Linked DNA regions of Diceros bicornis minor. The protein of the gene in region 2 purifies or fractionates together with the protein of the main gene of each other region. This does not show direct contact. Links are inferred from orthologs where the notes say so. Each region holds a gene or a part of one and is shown on either strand. Other genes may lie near its edges.

Region 1 (7,547 bases), on a different chromosome or scaffold from region 2:
ATCTCTAAGAGTCTCCAAATAAACAGGAAGAAGGTTAAGATAAATGAGAAAAATTGGCAAAAAGGCTTGAATATTATAAAGTCAGACATTCTGCTGTTCCTAGTTTAACACAATAAAAGATTAAAAATTAGAGAAGAATTGATGCTGTCACACCATACATGCCCAGAAATTATGTGTCTCTCATTCTACACCACAAATTCACCACACATTGTTTGTTGAAAATTCCATTAAGGGTGAAAAGGAAGACTTTCCTTTCACGGATCTTTACCTTCTGTCTCTGCATCATATTCAGGAGGTCTCCGAAGGGTGACTCTTCAGGGTTATCGAAGGCCAGCAGGGCCAGCGTGCGCTCCATTTCTGTCAGGCACTCTCTGCTCTCCTCGCCTTGCTCCGCCAACTGGGTCTGGGCGAACTCCAGCGCCGCCTCTGTCTCACGCTGGCGGATCAGCTCGATCAGGTGCTGTTGCTAGTCATGGGTAAAGGCAGACAGGCTCACACACCACACACCCAGGCAAGCGATACCCGGCGAGGGGCATTTGTTTCTGTCCATCTTAAAGGACAATTTCCTAGCATCTCTGAGTCACTAAATTTGCATTTTTAAAGCAAGAACTGGCTTCTGAAATACGTAAGACAACAGCTAACTCAAACCCCTCCCCCACATAAATTAAAACAATATTCTATTAATGCAGATTAGCCTCATTACTTCTGAATCGTTGCAAATAATCTTAACGAGTGTCTACGAACCAGATGCCTCTCAACCGAAACTCACTTGCAGGTGGAAGTACAGATACCGGTTCGTGTCCAGGAGTTCTGGATGGAGGCTGTTGATCAACGCAATAGCCTCCTGAATCTGGCCTTTCAGGATCATCTCACGGATTTTGATTCGCTCGTCAAGTGTTTCTAGATCCACACTAGGTTCGATCCCGGATTCCATTCGAAACTTTTCTGCTGCCTCCTTAAAGCCCTCTGAAAATGAAAACCATCTTCACTGCTTGGAAAGCTAGCAAGACATTAACACAAAGCCTTTTATCTCTAGAAAGCCCGTTTGCCTAGAGTAAGTCCCCTCCAACTTGACCCCTGCTCGTTCTTTGGGATTTGTTATCAACAGCTTTGTGATAAACTAGTCATGCCCGTGAGATACAGAGAATGAGAAGAGTGTACTCATTCCTCTCTACTCCATCCAAACAAACTCTAACCCACCAGCTACAGGGGAGAATGAATGCTAGGAAGCCCAATGTGTTGATGTGGGCTCCTTGAAGAAGGCTGCAATTCCAGGTAGGACGCAGAGAAACTGCAGATCTGGTCTAGGTGAGGCAAGACACACTGGCTATGCCCTCACAGTCGATAGGGACCTGCCACTCCCACCTTTAATGAGTCGACAATTCTCTTCAACATCAAAGCAGCGTTATGTGCCTCTCTCTACACACACACTCACACGCACAGCTATAGGCTGATATTTCCTCATCACCTTTCAAAAAAGGTCTTAACAGAGACTAACTGGGCATCGGGTACTGGGAACTAGTAGGAAGGAGACTTCCACCTTTTGGAAACATCTGGATTCTCTCACCACGTACAGAACTGCCCTTTCCTCTCCCACGTCAAGGAGAACTGAGTATCAGCCAGAGAGCACTTTTCTTTCCTTCCTAGGCTTGTGCCCTTCTCCCTTCCTCTTTTCAGTTGGGCACACCTTCTAGAAACAGTCCAGTATAATCTACCAGACTGGCCAGAAGAGATCAATTATTTGGGTTTTAAATGTACTTCACAACATTCTTAATTATCTTAATTAACGGTAAGAATGTCAGAGGCCAAAAACAGGTTTTTGCCTTAGGTCTCAGAGACCCGGAATAATCTCATCTCCAGAAGAGGGTACCTTCCTCACGATCATTTACTAAGTTAGCACCACGTTTGTACAATGCCTGAACACAATGTATCTTTATCATGGAACTTCAGTGGTAAAATTCTGATTGTGTGTACAAAGAGGGAGAATTACCTGTGACCAGGTAGTTCATGATGAGACGGTTCATGTCTGCTCGCTGCACATGTAAGTTATTGAGTTTCTCCATCCACTCATCTTTTGTGATTTCATCGGGTTTTTCTGCGTAACTCATTCTGATTTATTTCTACAGGAAAAAAAATATTTTAAGAATCAGTGAAGAATTCTATGACAATTGTGCTCATTTCAGAAATAAACACAGTGACATACTAAAAAGTAAAAGGGAGTGGGAAGATAATTTAAATCTGGAAAACAGCAAGCGCAAAGGGCCTGAGACCTGAGACCAGAAAGAAGGCTGGGGTGTTTAGAAGGCAGGATGAATGCAAGAAAGAGCCAAGGGTCTCAGAACTAAGAGGTCAAGAGGTTGGCTGGGGTCAGACTGAGTAAGGACTTACAGGCTGAGGGAGGAGTGTAGACAGATTCTCCTCTACGTGCAAAGGGCAGCTGTGAGAGGTATAAACTAAAGGATTACACACTTGTCTTATGTGCTCAAAAGAAGCCTGCAACTGTATACCCACCACACTGACAAAAATTACCAGTGTTAACAGAGATAGGGAGTTCTCTTGAACTCTTTACACTGCTGTCAGAACAGACTGGTGCTGCAAAAACTTTTGGCATTCCTTGTAAAGCCGAACACGTATGCTCCTTGCAGCCTAGCAAATCTACTCCTGTTAGATTGAGACCCTCAAAAACTCATCATACATCAAACACAGACAAGACTGTCTAAAGAAACTGTTCAAAATGGCAAAAATGTGGAAGACACCCACCCAGATGTTCATTTAAACAGCAGCATGGACAAGGAACTGTGGTTCACAGAACCAAAATCCCAAGCCCAAAATCCTGGGGCAGATATGTTTCAGAATTCAGAATTCTGCAGACTGCACAAACACTATATGGCACACTTTACCATACAGTATATGACATCCTCATTGGGGTCTGGGGCAGCACCTATAATCAAATATCATTTCTTCAACGAAATGTACGTGTACTCAAACTGAGTGGAATAGAGACTATTACACAGTCTTTACCAGGTCAGGGTTTACCATCAAATAGGTTAAAAACAAAAACAAAAACCTGTGCTTTTCAGAGCTATTTGGATTTTAGCATTGCTGAGAAGGGATTGTGATCATGTATTCACATAACAGAATTCACTAAAGCAGTTAAAGCAACACAGCCACATGATGACCCTTAGAAACGAGCTGGATCAATCAAGCATGTTGCAGCAGGGGCCCAAGTGTGGCAGACACTTTTGTAAAGAACAAAAACAAGACAAACTACATAATACATGCTTTGGCAATAAATACATATGGGCCAAAACTGTTCTGTTGTTGCTTTAAGTAAGGGTATGAAACACAAAACTAAGGAGGTGTTACTGTGGGAGGAGGGGGAGACAGGTGCCCACCCTGGGAGCACCTGCTGGGTTCCTGAGATGGGTGGTGAGCCCATCGCTGCCCACTTCATTTTCCTCCTCTGACATATACATCATGGATACTACTACATATAGCTAAGTACCTGCTAAACTGCTGAATAAGTAAAAGACGGCAAATGTGGGGTGGTGAGAGCTGAGCAGGAAGACGGGCAAAGAGCCACCCAAACAAGAGAGGGGAGCAGCAGAAGAGCTAGAGACACAGCAGATGGAGATTCTGTGGACACGGAGCAATGGGCCTTGCTGCTGGACTGAATGTGGAGGGATAAAAAAATGGGAAGACCTGAGGGCGATGGATGGGAGGTTTCAAGCTTGAGGTCTTGGAGGATGGAGCCACAGATGAGGGCGAAGGACCGGGAGAGGAACAGGTTTGAGGAGCAAGGCAAGTCTGGGCTATTACACATGCAGCTGGAGAAGTCAAGCAGGCACCTGGATTACAGGTCCCGAGCTCAGTGCTGGAAACATTAATTAGGGCAACATCTGCCAAAAAATGATAGGGAAAGCCAAGAGCTGGGCAAAGATCACCAAGGGAGATAGTGTGGGCAGGGAAGCAAAGGGGCACAAGACAAAGTCCTCAGGTACTTGGAGGACCCGCGACCTTAGAGATCAGCCCAGGGGGAGGCGCAGCAGAAGAAAACTCGCAGGGCAGGCAAAACCAAGAGACGCTGTCCTGCACAAAATACCCATTTCTCTGCTGCGGCCCACTGCACCACTCATTCAGGCCCTATTCTGATTCCCAGACAACAATTCAAGGTAACCGAGAACTAAGAAGGCACCTTCTCTCAGCGTCCACTGTAACCAGCAATCACCCCAGTACCACTCCCTGGCGTGGAGAGCGACTTTGCAAAGCAACCCCTTTGGAGAACTGGCCCGTTCTGTTTTGCGCAGGAAAAACTCGGCTGTTAAATATTCAATGTTTGATTCAAATCAAACATCCCAATTCTGAAGTCACGCAACCAGCCATGCACGTCCTGGCGAGCGCAGTCCCTGCTGAAGGGATTCTGCGATAACCTCGTTCTCTTCGCAGACACACATGTGCGACATCTCCAGTAACCACCGCCATTCCGGCTGGCGGCCCTTCCGAGCGCCGAACCTCCACTTGAACGCCCTCCCTCTGAGACCACACCGAGCCAAGCGCCCGCTCCACCGGCATGGCCCACCGCGACCGAGGAGAAACGGCAGTCTGACTGCAGGTCCGGAGAACGCCGCCTCCCCCGGGAACTCGCCCGATTCTGACACCTGCGGGGACCTGTGACCCCGTAAGGCCCGAGCGCGGTCCAGCGGCCTCGGGGGAAAGCCCCGGCGGCGCGGGGACCCGGGCCCGGCCCCTCCCGCGTCTCCTCCCCGGCCCCTCCCCGGCCCCCGCCCCGGTCTCCTCCCGCCCGGGTCTCCTCCCCCGTCCGCCGCGCTCCCGCCGAGACGCTCGGCCCGGCCGCCTGGGCCCGCCGCGGCCATCTTACCGTGCAGATCCCACCGCCCGCGCTTCGCGGTCCCCACGGCCGCTCGGGAGACCAGGCGGGCGGGGAGGGCGGCGGCGGCGGCGCCGGGGACGGGGAGGCGGAGGCGGGGGCCGCGGCGGAGGCGGGGGCGGGGAACCGGAGACCAGACGCACCGGCGGCCGCCCCCTCAGCCACTTCTCGCGAGATCGCGAGATCGCGAGCCGGCAGCCAATCAAGTGTTCCCGCGAGGGGGCGGGGCGCTGCGGCCGCCCGGAAGCGCGGATCTCCAGCTTCCGCCCTTGCGCAGAACACCCCTCGCAGCACCCTCGCTCTACGGATTGGCGCGAGAGTCAAAAGGCGTCGGCCGCCTCTGGGCAAGATGGCTGCCGTCGAAGTGTCGTGGTGGGGGAACTTCGCGCCGGGACGGCGACGTCTAGACTGAGTCGGAGGCGAAGGTCCCAGCGTCTCTTCCGTCGTTTGTGAGCCCGGAGGGCAGGGGGTAGGGGCGGGGGACAGGTGCCGGTGCTTCGTGCCGCCCCGAGGCGGGGGTCCCCCCGACCAGGCGCCTGCCTTCGCACAGGCCTGGGAGGAGCCGCCCGAGCGCGGCCGGCGGGAGCGCTGCGTTCTGTCTGTTGAGGCGGGTCCGGGGGTTGCCCGACCGTGTCGGTGAGCGCGCGCTCGCCCGCCGCCAGATGAGTCGACAAACAGGCCCGCCCTCAGGGAGCCTCCCTCCCGGGGACCGGTGGTCCCTGCGGCCCGGTGGTCCTCCCCGCCCGGGGCCCGGTGGTCCCAAAGCCTCGCTCAGGTTGGGCAGGGGCTGCAGGCGTGTGCGACGAGGGCCCCGAGGTGCCGCGGCCGCTGCCCGGCGCCTGGACAGTCTCCCTGTGCCGGAGCTGGGTTCTGGGGGACGCAGAGACGCAGAAATACACGTTTGCGCGTTTGTTTGCTTATTATTGTTTGTCTGTTCAAGAAGAACGCAGACTCCGTCAGAGCAAGGTTTTCCCACTGCGGGAGGGTAACGTTAAAGAGTTTTAGAGCGCTTCAGGAAGGAAATTGAAGGGGCAGCCTCTTATTTCATCCGATGAAATCCGACGTCTTCCTGAATTCGAACTCAGGAGTTAGATGGTTTCGTGTGATTGCTCAAAAGTGAACTAACGCGCAAGTGTTGGCGGACTTCTCCCAGAGAGTGAGTCCAATTTGCCAAACAGGTTTGACGGTGACTACTGGTTATGGACATTTTCCGTTATTGGAATGAGCTAATTTAGCACGTGCAAAGCTTTGACACAAATCTGGTATTTAAAACGCAGGTGCAGCAGCTGTCCGTAATCACGTTCTTTGCAGCTACTTAACTCTGCAAACACATTTGGATGTCAGCTTCATAGTGTGCGAGGGGGTGCAGAGTTTCAGAATTCTTTTCAAGGGTACACAGGCAAAAAGCTTGCATGCCAGTCCTCTAAGGAGATAGAATATTCCAGTCCAGGGAGGCTTCAGCTGCGCCTTCTCTGCGGGTCATAGGTTAACGGCCCCTCCCCCCAGCAGCCAGCCGGTTACCGAGTCTTGCAGATTCTACCTCCTCCATTCTGTCTAGAGACTGGCTGACTTTTTTTTTTTTTTTTTTTTTTTTTTTTGGTGAGGGAGATTAGCTTTGAGCTAATATCCGCTACCAATCCTCTTTTTGCTCAGGAAGAGTGGCCCTGAGCTAACATCTGTGCCCATTTTATACCTGGGTTGCCTGCCACAGCATGGCTTGATGAACGGTGTGTAGGTCCCACCCAGGATCCGAACCTGCGAATCCCGGTCCGCTGGAGTGGAGTGCACAAATTTAACCACTGCACTACTGGGCTGGCCCCAACTGGCTGCTTTTTATTGTTGCCAGCCTCTCCCCTGGAACATTTAGGCTATCCGCTCTGCTCCTTGGATTGCCCTACCGGCAGTCCTGCCAGCTCCTTTCTTTTTTTTTTTTTTTTTTAATTTTATTTATTTATTTTCCCCCAAGGCCCCAGTAGATAGTTGTATGTCATAGTTGCAACTAGAATCATAGTTGCACATCCTTCTAGTTGCTGCACGTGGGACACAGCCCCAACGTGGCCAGAGAAGCGGTGCGTCGGTGCGCGCCCGGGATCCGAACCCGGGCTGCCAGCAGCGGAGCGCGCGCACCCAACCGCCAAGCCACGGGGCTAGCCCTGCCAGCTCCTTTCTGAAACCCATGCAGCAGGCAGGGTGATCTCTCCTTGTACTCCTCACACACTTCCTGGACTCCCCAGCTGCCTGTGCAAAGTGAGCGCAGCTAAAAGCAGCACCACTCCTGCCTTTTCCCTCTCCACTCCAGCCATCTCAAGCTGTTTGAGGTTCTCTCCACTCACTAGGCTCTCTCACCTCTGGGCTCTCACATAAGACCCTTGCCTAGGCTGACTTCTCAGAGTGGGAAGACTCCCTAAACAAAGCTGGATGTAGTGCCTCTCCCGTGTGCTCACGTGATGTCCTGGGTTATTCCTCTGTAGCATTCGGCACACTGATCTAGATCACTGATGCCTCCTGGGATGTCACGATTCACCACAAACGTGAGCTTCACACAAGCTGAAGCATCTAGTACATGGTAGGAGTCCGTAAACATTTGTTGAGAATGTGAAGGAATAAGCGAGTGAGTGATGATGAAGACCTTAGCTAGAAGCAGTCTCAGGGGAAACGG
Region 2 (6,947 bases):
TGAATGTTTAATTAGATCACCAAATTGTCCCCCCACATCTGGCTGTTCATAAAAGCAAAACCTACCATTTGAGTGCTCAATTCTAGTGTGAAGTGTGTTACCATGGGAAGGAAAGCTCAAGCTTAAACTATAACTGTCATTAGAACTATCCTGAACAAGAAAAGAACCATCTGGAACATTTACTAGATTCCCTTCACCCTCTGAGCATGTAATTGGTCCCCAGTACCATCCTTATTCCGCAAGTTTTTTCAGCTCCTCTGTAAGGCTTGTTACAACCATAAGACCACTACTTTCCATTGAATCATAAACTCTTGCAACCTCAGGAGCAGAGTCAGGATCGAAATTCAAATAATAGCGCATACTTTCAGACACATGGACATCTGTGCCGGTGAGTCCACTGCAGTTCGTTTGCATTTGATAATTCTGCATTAGAGGTAGCAATGGTGAACGTGGAGGGACATCATCACGACTCGCTCTTGGGCTTTGCAATGCGACGCCTGTGGTGCCAATGAACAAGCCATTCACAGACTGATCCACAAAGATCTCTGGGGCAACGACTATGTCCTGGCCTACTTGATTTTCATTTTTGGAGAAAGAGTTCCCTCCCACTTGAGAAAGTACTGCAGAAACTTCCATGGGAGAAGAACTGTCCAGACAATAGCTAGGCGATCCTTCTAAAGGATGCATCCCCTCATCTACAGGCACAGAATACCAAACGCAGTCTTGAGGCATAAGTCCAATAACTACAGGCATGTGTTCATTGAGGTGAAGATGCAAGTCTCCATTTTGAGATTCTGAACTCTTCAATGAGTTATTTTGTTCTTAGCACGCAGTTTCAGGCTGAAGACTGAAAATCTTTTTGAACATTATTCCGTGCTGGACTTGGATTGGAAGAATAAACCTAGGCTTTGACTCTCACCTCCTCCATCTTGATACACGTATCCTCAGCGTTTGTAAGTCAAGAGGTCAAGGGGTAGGACTATAGGGATGATTGCCAAGGGAAGTGGATCTTATTGGTCTTTGAGCTCTCACATCTTTAAAGACTATTATTGGTGCTGAGGAGAGGAAAACGTATCCTCTGGCAGAGCTCCTGGAGGGTGGGCTCCCCTTGCCTTTCAGCTTTTGTTCTGCAGAAAGCCGCCTTTTTAGTGTACCCATTAGGCTTCCCTCTTAATCTATGTTTTCCACCTTTTTCATCTTCACTGTTGATATCACAGCTGGCCATATCTTTACCATAGCAGCTACCAAATAAGGAATCACGTTTTCCAAACTCACTGGCTAGTGATGGTTGTCATACTACCCTGAAATCAGTTTCTCCTTTACTTTTATTCAGGTTCAAAGATTTCTGGAAGGTTTTAAGACTAATTTTCTTCATTATGACTGGTTACCTAACCCAGGGGGCTCAATTTCTCTCTGGAATATTATCCCCAAACATCTGGAGAGCCTGTGGGGCTACATCTCTGTATTTTTCCAGCTTCCTTGAGCCTTTGGAGCCATTTTCCAGCCGCAGAGTGGCGGTGGCGGCCAGAGCGTGTCTCCCGCTCCCTCGCCCAGCGCTAGCGCCGCTGGTGCGAAATGTGTGTTGTTTTCAGCCGCTCAATTTGTGGTAACTTGTTACAAAGTAACAGAAAACGAAGACACCGTTAGTGGTGTTATTAGGATGGCAAAGTTTGGAATTGGGATTGAAGTGTGGCTGATTTATTTCAGATGATTCTGAATTTAGAATTGCTGCACATAAAAGGGAGAAAAAAAATAACCAGAAATCAGCGTTCAAGAGAACACACAAAAGCACCTCCTTCGATGTCCAAGTCAGGCCTTCTTCGTCACCCTCCTCCAGCCTGAAGTGACTGTTCCCTCCCCAGATATTTATAGACAGTAATATATTTCATCACCTAAATACTACTCTTCTGTTTTATGCTCTGGTAGCTTTTTGTGTCTACCTAACTGGGCTTCAAGTTCCTTAAGGGCAAAGATCTTGTCTTGGTGACTTTTGTGTCCGCCACAGTGCTTTGCACTCTAGTAAATGTTACCTGACTGGCCAAAGAAGATGTGTTTGTCAGATGAGTAAGTCCCTCAAACTAAACCCTCCAGGTGCTATTTCTGGAAGGTACCTGGAGGGGGTTCTTGAGACTCCAACAGGGGTTTTTCTTTATTGAACCACTGTGAGCCCCACTATCCAGCTTTCCACCCAGCAAAATGTATCGTAACATCCTCTGACTCTTCTGTCAGGATAAGGAACCTTAGACCACAAGTATCAATGGGCCAAATAGCCTGCCTGACTGGGAAAACGACCTGGCATCTAACAACAAAAAGAGTTTTACTTAATTAGCTAGCACCCACTAATCAGTAAGGCCTAAACATCTGCCAGTGGAATCTGAGAAGTCTGTTCTAAAAGTTGAAAAGCTGAGTTTACTCACCACAGATGGGGGCATTTGTGGGGGGGGGGGAGGACTTTTACCAGTTAAATCAAATTAAGAGAATAGATTGGTGCCCAATTTCCAGGAGAGTTTGTAGAGTGAACTTGGTCTTTTTCACTGCATGTGACTCTTCATTATGAATGTGATGGAGGAAATTATCAATAGTATGAATTTTCTCTGTGCTCATATCCATAATGAAAGTTTGTGAACTGTCTCAAAGAAATTGAAGCAGAACTTGAGGACTTAGGTTTTTTTTTTTTTTTAATGTAGTCAAATGACTAGGTAGTGGAAATGTTTTGAAGAAATTCACTGACCTGTTTTCTTAGATCAAGGACTTTTTGAAATAAAAAGGCTCTGAGAGATCCAACTTGTTGCCTCCATTGGTTTATAATAATTTCTTGCTGATGTGGCAAGCTACCCTAAATCTTTTCTGGAATAAGAGATGAGATGTAAATTAATACCAATGTGACAAAATGTCTGAATAGTGGATTTGAAACTGCAGGAAGATCATAAGAGCTCATTTCTTCAAGGAAGTGGAGGCAATTCAGCCTCCATCTAGATATGAGGTTTAAGTGAATTCATTTATTATTGTTGAACTGCTTTGAGCTAAACGAAATCACTGATTGTGATGATTTGCAAAGCTATGTGGTGGAAATGGAGTCACAACTCAGAAGAGTCATGGATCTTGACGAATATGAATCATCTTTAACATCTTTATGGCTGCCTTTGGAGTGCAAACTCTCAGCATGTTTCTGAGTTATGAAGCATTTGCCCTCATACTGTGAGCAGACCTATCCTGAATACCAAAATGATTTTGAAATTTCGGGCTATATGGCCACGATGTGAGATGTTTGGGTTCATTTGGCCCTGTGAAAGCATCAATCTTCTTTGTTAAAGTGCTTAAACCAATGGCTGGAGTCAGAATTAAGACGTGTTCAAATTGGGACCCTCCCCTATCGTTTTGAACAACAGTTCAGTCTTTGAAATATAACCATTTAAATTTACTTGCTCAGAATTGATCCATTAAACTTGTAACTATCCATTTTGGTACGAATAAAGTTGATTAAACTTTTTCAGATGTCTTTGGCATTTATATCAAAATCTTCACCATTGGCTAGCTAATAGACTAGACCACTTTGGCAAAAATGCATCCGTCACGTGTACGGGTTTCTTTTTACCCTTCCGCTTCACTAGTAAAAAACTTGGACGCTCCTCGCCCAGACAGTGCCCCAACCGCGAGTGCGGTTGACAGGGTTGCTCGCATGCGCTTTCGACAGAATCGTGTTTGTCGCAATGGGCCCCGCGCGGAAGGTTACAAAAGAGCTAGGGGATTCGAGTACACTCATTTTGTGGGTAGAGCTGGTTACCGCGCTACTTCCGCGCCGGTACTAGATTGTAACAGAAAGTAGTTCCGGTCCGTGTTGTTTCGGCCGAGGAGCCGTCGCCGCCATTTCAAGACCGTGAGAGGTAGATGGGCAACTAGAGTTCTAAGGTTCGAAGCCTGTAACTGCTGCCGCCGCTTAAGCCTGCCAAAACACTGGTACGGCTGCTGCCCTCCTCCTCCTACCTCTAGAAACATTCTTGCCAGTAGTGGCGGCAACAGGACTCAATTACCCCCCTCTTGTTTTTCCTCAAGAAGCTCCAGATGGCGTCTTCCGTGGGCAACGTGGCCGACAGCACAGGTACCGGTGTCCGTTCTACCTTAGCTGACGCCGCGTTGGGGTCTCGCGCCGTCCTCTACCTCTCCTCATTCCCTTCCTTCACCCTAGCCATCCCCATTACAGCAGTGGCATTGCGGAGCTTTTCGTTCTCTACCGGCGTCTGGTCGGGTTTTCCGCTGTCGTCCGCTCCTCAGACATTTCCTCTTGCTTGCTTGCTTGCTTTTGAATTCCATAAATTTTCCAGCTTTCTACTCTCTCGGGACGTTTCTACCCCACGTGCGCGCCTAGGATGTCTCGGAATGGACTGCAGTGGAATTCCTGTCCTTTGACTCGCCTTCGCAGCTGTTTTCCCCCTAATTCAGCTCATCGCCCCCTCCTCTTCCCCTGCCACATCCCCCTTTAGGCCTTTCTCCGTAGCTAGATCCGGTCCTTCGCTGTCAGTCTGGGGCGGGGGTGCCATTCCGATGGAAGCGTATCCTCACTGTGCATCACCCAAGGACGAGCAAAAGCTCCTCGGTGGGCTCTACGTAACCTCGAGAAGAGGGGATATTGAGAGCACCCCGCTGGGCAGCGCCTTTCGGGTGTTCCTTCGGTTGAGCGGCCCCGGTTTAGATTGGAAATTTCCAGGGGTTCCTTTCGCCATCGCCCAATTCCACCCGCTGCCCCCAGCCTGGATTTCCCACCCTGTGCTCCCTCCCTTCCCGGGGGAACCACACCCTTTCCTTCGCGAGGTTGCCAGCCCTGCAGTCCACTTCCTATCCTTGGGGAGAAGCCACCCTGGGGGCTTGGTGCTTTGGCGTTGACCACCCTGCCCGCCGAAGTCTCGCTTTGTGTTACTTTCTCCCTGTGTTCTTCCGCCACCGCTTCTGGGGCTTCCATCCCCATTCCTTAGCTCAGTAGCTCTTTATTCATAGGGTGTGTATTTTTTGGTTTCCATCCTTGCTTGAAGAGTTTGTAAAGCAACTGGAGTGTAGCTGCACAAGTGCAAGGCGGTTGCCCTTTTAGACAATTCAGTCGACAGCATTTGGTACTAAAAATAAGAAAACAACCAAATTACAGGAGCGTCCCTCAGCTGCCTTTCCATATTGAGGCTATTTGGGGCGGGAGGGGTGGGGGTGGGATTGGGCTGCGGTTCTAAGGTTTCCCACGAGGTTATTTTTTTGTTGTCGTTGTTTCTCAGTTGAGATGTGTCAAGGGTTTTATTTATTGTTTTTGGACATTGTGCAGTAATAGGTGAATCTTCAATCGTATCTTATCCATGATTGTAGACAGTGGGATTAATAATTAGTCAGTGGTCGCCTCCCGCCCAGGGACTTTTAAAGATTTAAGATTCTGTACTAGCTTGCCCTTTTCTAGGTGTATTATTTTATTTGAGGAAGCTGTCATTTAAAGTGTTAAAAATAGCGGATAAGCGGCTTTGAAAAGTTGATAAAATGTGTTAAAATAAGGAGCTAGGAAGTTCTAGAGACTTGTCTAAAATGTAATTTTGTAGTTTCTATTAGAGATAGAACCCCTCCCGGATTTGGATGCAAGTCTCTCTGGCTCTTGTGTTAGTCAGCTGTGCATTCTGTCAGGAAATTTACTTTGCTTTCCTGAGCATACAGATCACTCGCCAGCTCTCATAATTGGGGAGCTAGGCTCGGATTTCAGTTTGTCACTGTGACCTTGGTAGGATTTAAGTAATTTGTACATGGTTTCCCATTCCAACCGTCTAGTGAAAGTGCTATGGCCAAATTCCCAGTAATGTATCATTGTTTAAGTATTTACAATTGAGACTTAGTTTGTTGTTGTTCTTTTTCCCCTCTCTGAGCTTTACCCATATCCTTTAAGTATCTGAATTAAGTTACTTACAGCAAAGTGTTTTCATTTATTATTCATTCTGTTGCACATTATCAAATGGTTTTATGTTTTAGCATTTTCCCGTTATTTTTTTTAAGTCATTGCAGTTGTAGGTAACTGCTTGGTTTATGTAGGGTTGTTTGCAATGTCTTAATCCTTTAGACAATGTCAGTGCTCTCTGGAAAATGCTGGTGTCAAACCGTCGTGGGTGGGATTTAGTTAATTTGGTCTCATGAGTTTGGGATGGTAGAGGAGCTGTATAATCTTGGGTTTTTATTTAAAATGTTTGATGACCCCTTTAAATATTTTGGCTCTTGACAGATGAATTCATCTTGTTTGTCAGCTGTTTTAAAAATAGCACCTTGACTTTTAGTTCTTTTTTCCTTTTTGCTTGTTTCTAGTGTCGCCCTTAATTTAATTTTAAAAACTGAAGTTGTGAAATATACAAAAACATCAATATAATTTTAAGAGTTAAAAACTCATGGTGTCCCAGGTTAAGAGAGAGATTGTTGCCAGTACCCTACCCCCCACAAATCCAACCTAAAACATGGGACAAAGTATTAAATTTCCCAGTAGATTATTTGTGACCTTGTAAATCACGTTTTATATTTTGTTTCTTTATGTTACTTAAGGTATAAGGAATAATGTTTAGTGAATCTTTAGATACTACCTCTGGATTTATAATTTGAAGGTACAAAGTATTTTTGGTCATAAAATGTAATCTCATTTGGAAGTAAATATTTCTATCGAGTCTGGAAAAGAAAGTTAATGGGTGAATTCTAAAAATGCCAATTCTGCACCTGGTGTTAACTTGGGGGTATAAGTAATGTGCAGAACACTCTAGTGCTTTACATAGTTTCAAGCCTTTTCATCTTTAAGTTTAATATACCATATTTTTACATTTTTTTGTTTGCATTTCTAACTTTTTGTTTTCCCCCCTCCTTCCCTCAAATGTTTTGATGATTCTCCAGAACCAACGAAACGTATGCTTTCCTTCCAAGGGTTAGCTGAGTTGGCACATCGAGAATAT

What was found.
Region 1: the proteins of OGT (region 2) and DIDO1 purify together in Homo sapiens (affinity purification with mass spectrometry; 3 studies listed by BioGRID and IntAct, with this or other methods). This does not show direct contact. The link is inferred for Diceros bicornis minor from reciprocal best matches to the Homo sapiens genes OGT and DIDO1.

Annotation. Positions count from the first base shown.
Region 1 is NC_080758.1:1,210,549-1,218,095, forward strand, and holds the start of DIDO1 (death-inducer obliterator 1), read left to right. Parts: upstream 1-4,535; 5' UTR 4,536-4,612; intron 4,613-4,879; exon of another isoform or gene 4,880-4,962; intron 4,963-5,231; exon of another isoform or gene 5,232-5,337; intron 5,338-7,547. Other genes in the region: GID8 (glucose-induced degradation protein 8 homolog), read right to left, coding at 269-466, 770-966, 1,991-2,108. UniProt on the Homo sapiens protein: Putative transcription factor, weakly pro-apoptotic when overexpressed. Tumor suppressor. Required for early embryonic stem cell development.
Region 2 is NC_080781.1:64,767,836-64,774,782, forward strand, and holds the start of OGT (UDP-N-acetylglucosamine--peptide N-acetylglucosaminyltransferase 110 kDa subunit), read left to right. Parts: upstream 1-3,857; 5' UTR 3,858-3,957; exon of another isoform or gene 3,958-4,053; 5' UTR 4,054-4,062; coding exon 4,063-4,099; intron 4,100-6,888; coding exon 6,889-6,947. UniProt on the Homo sapiens protein: Catalyzes the transfer of a single N-acetylglucosamine from UDP-GlcNAc to a serine or threonine residue in cytoplasmic and nuclear proteins resulting in their modification with a beta-linked N-acetylglucosamine (O-GlcNAc).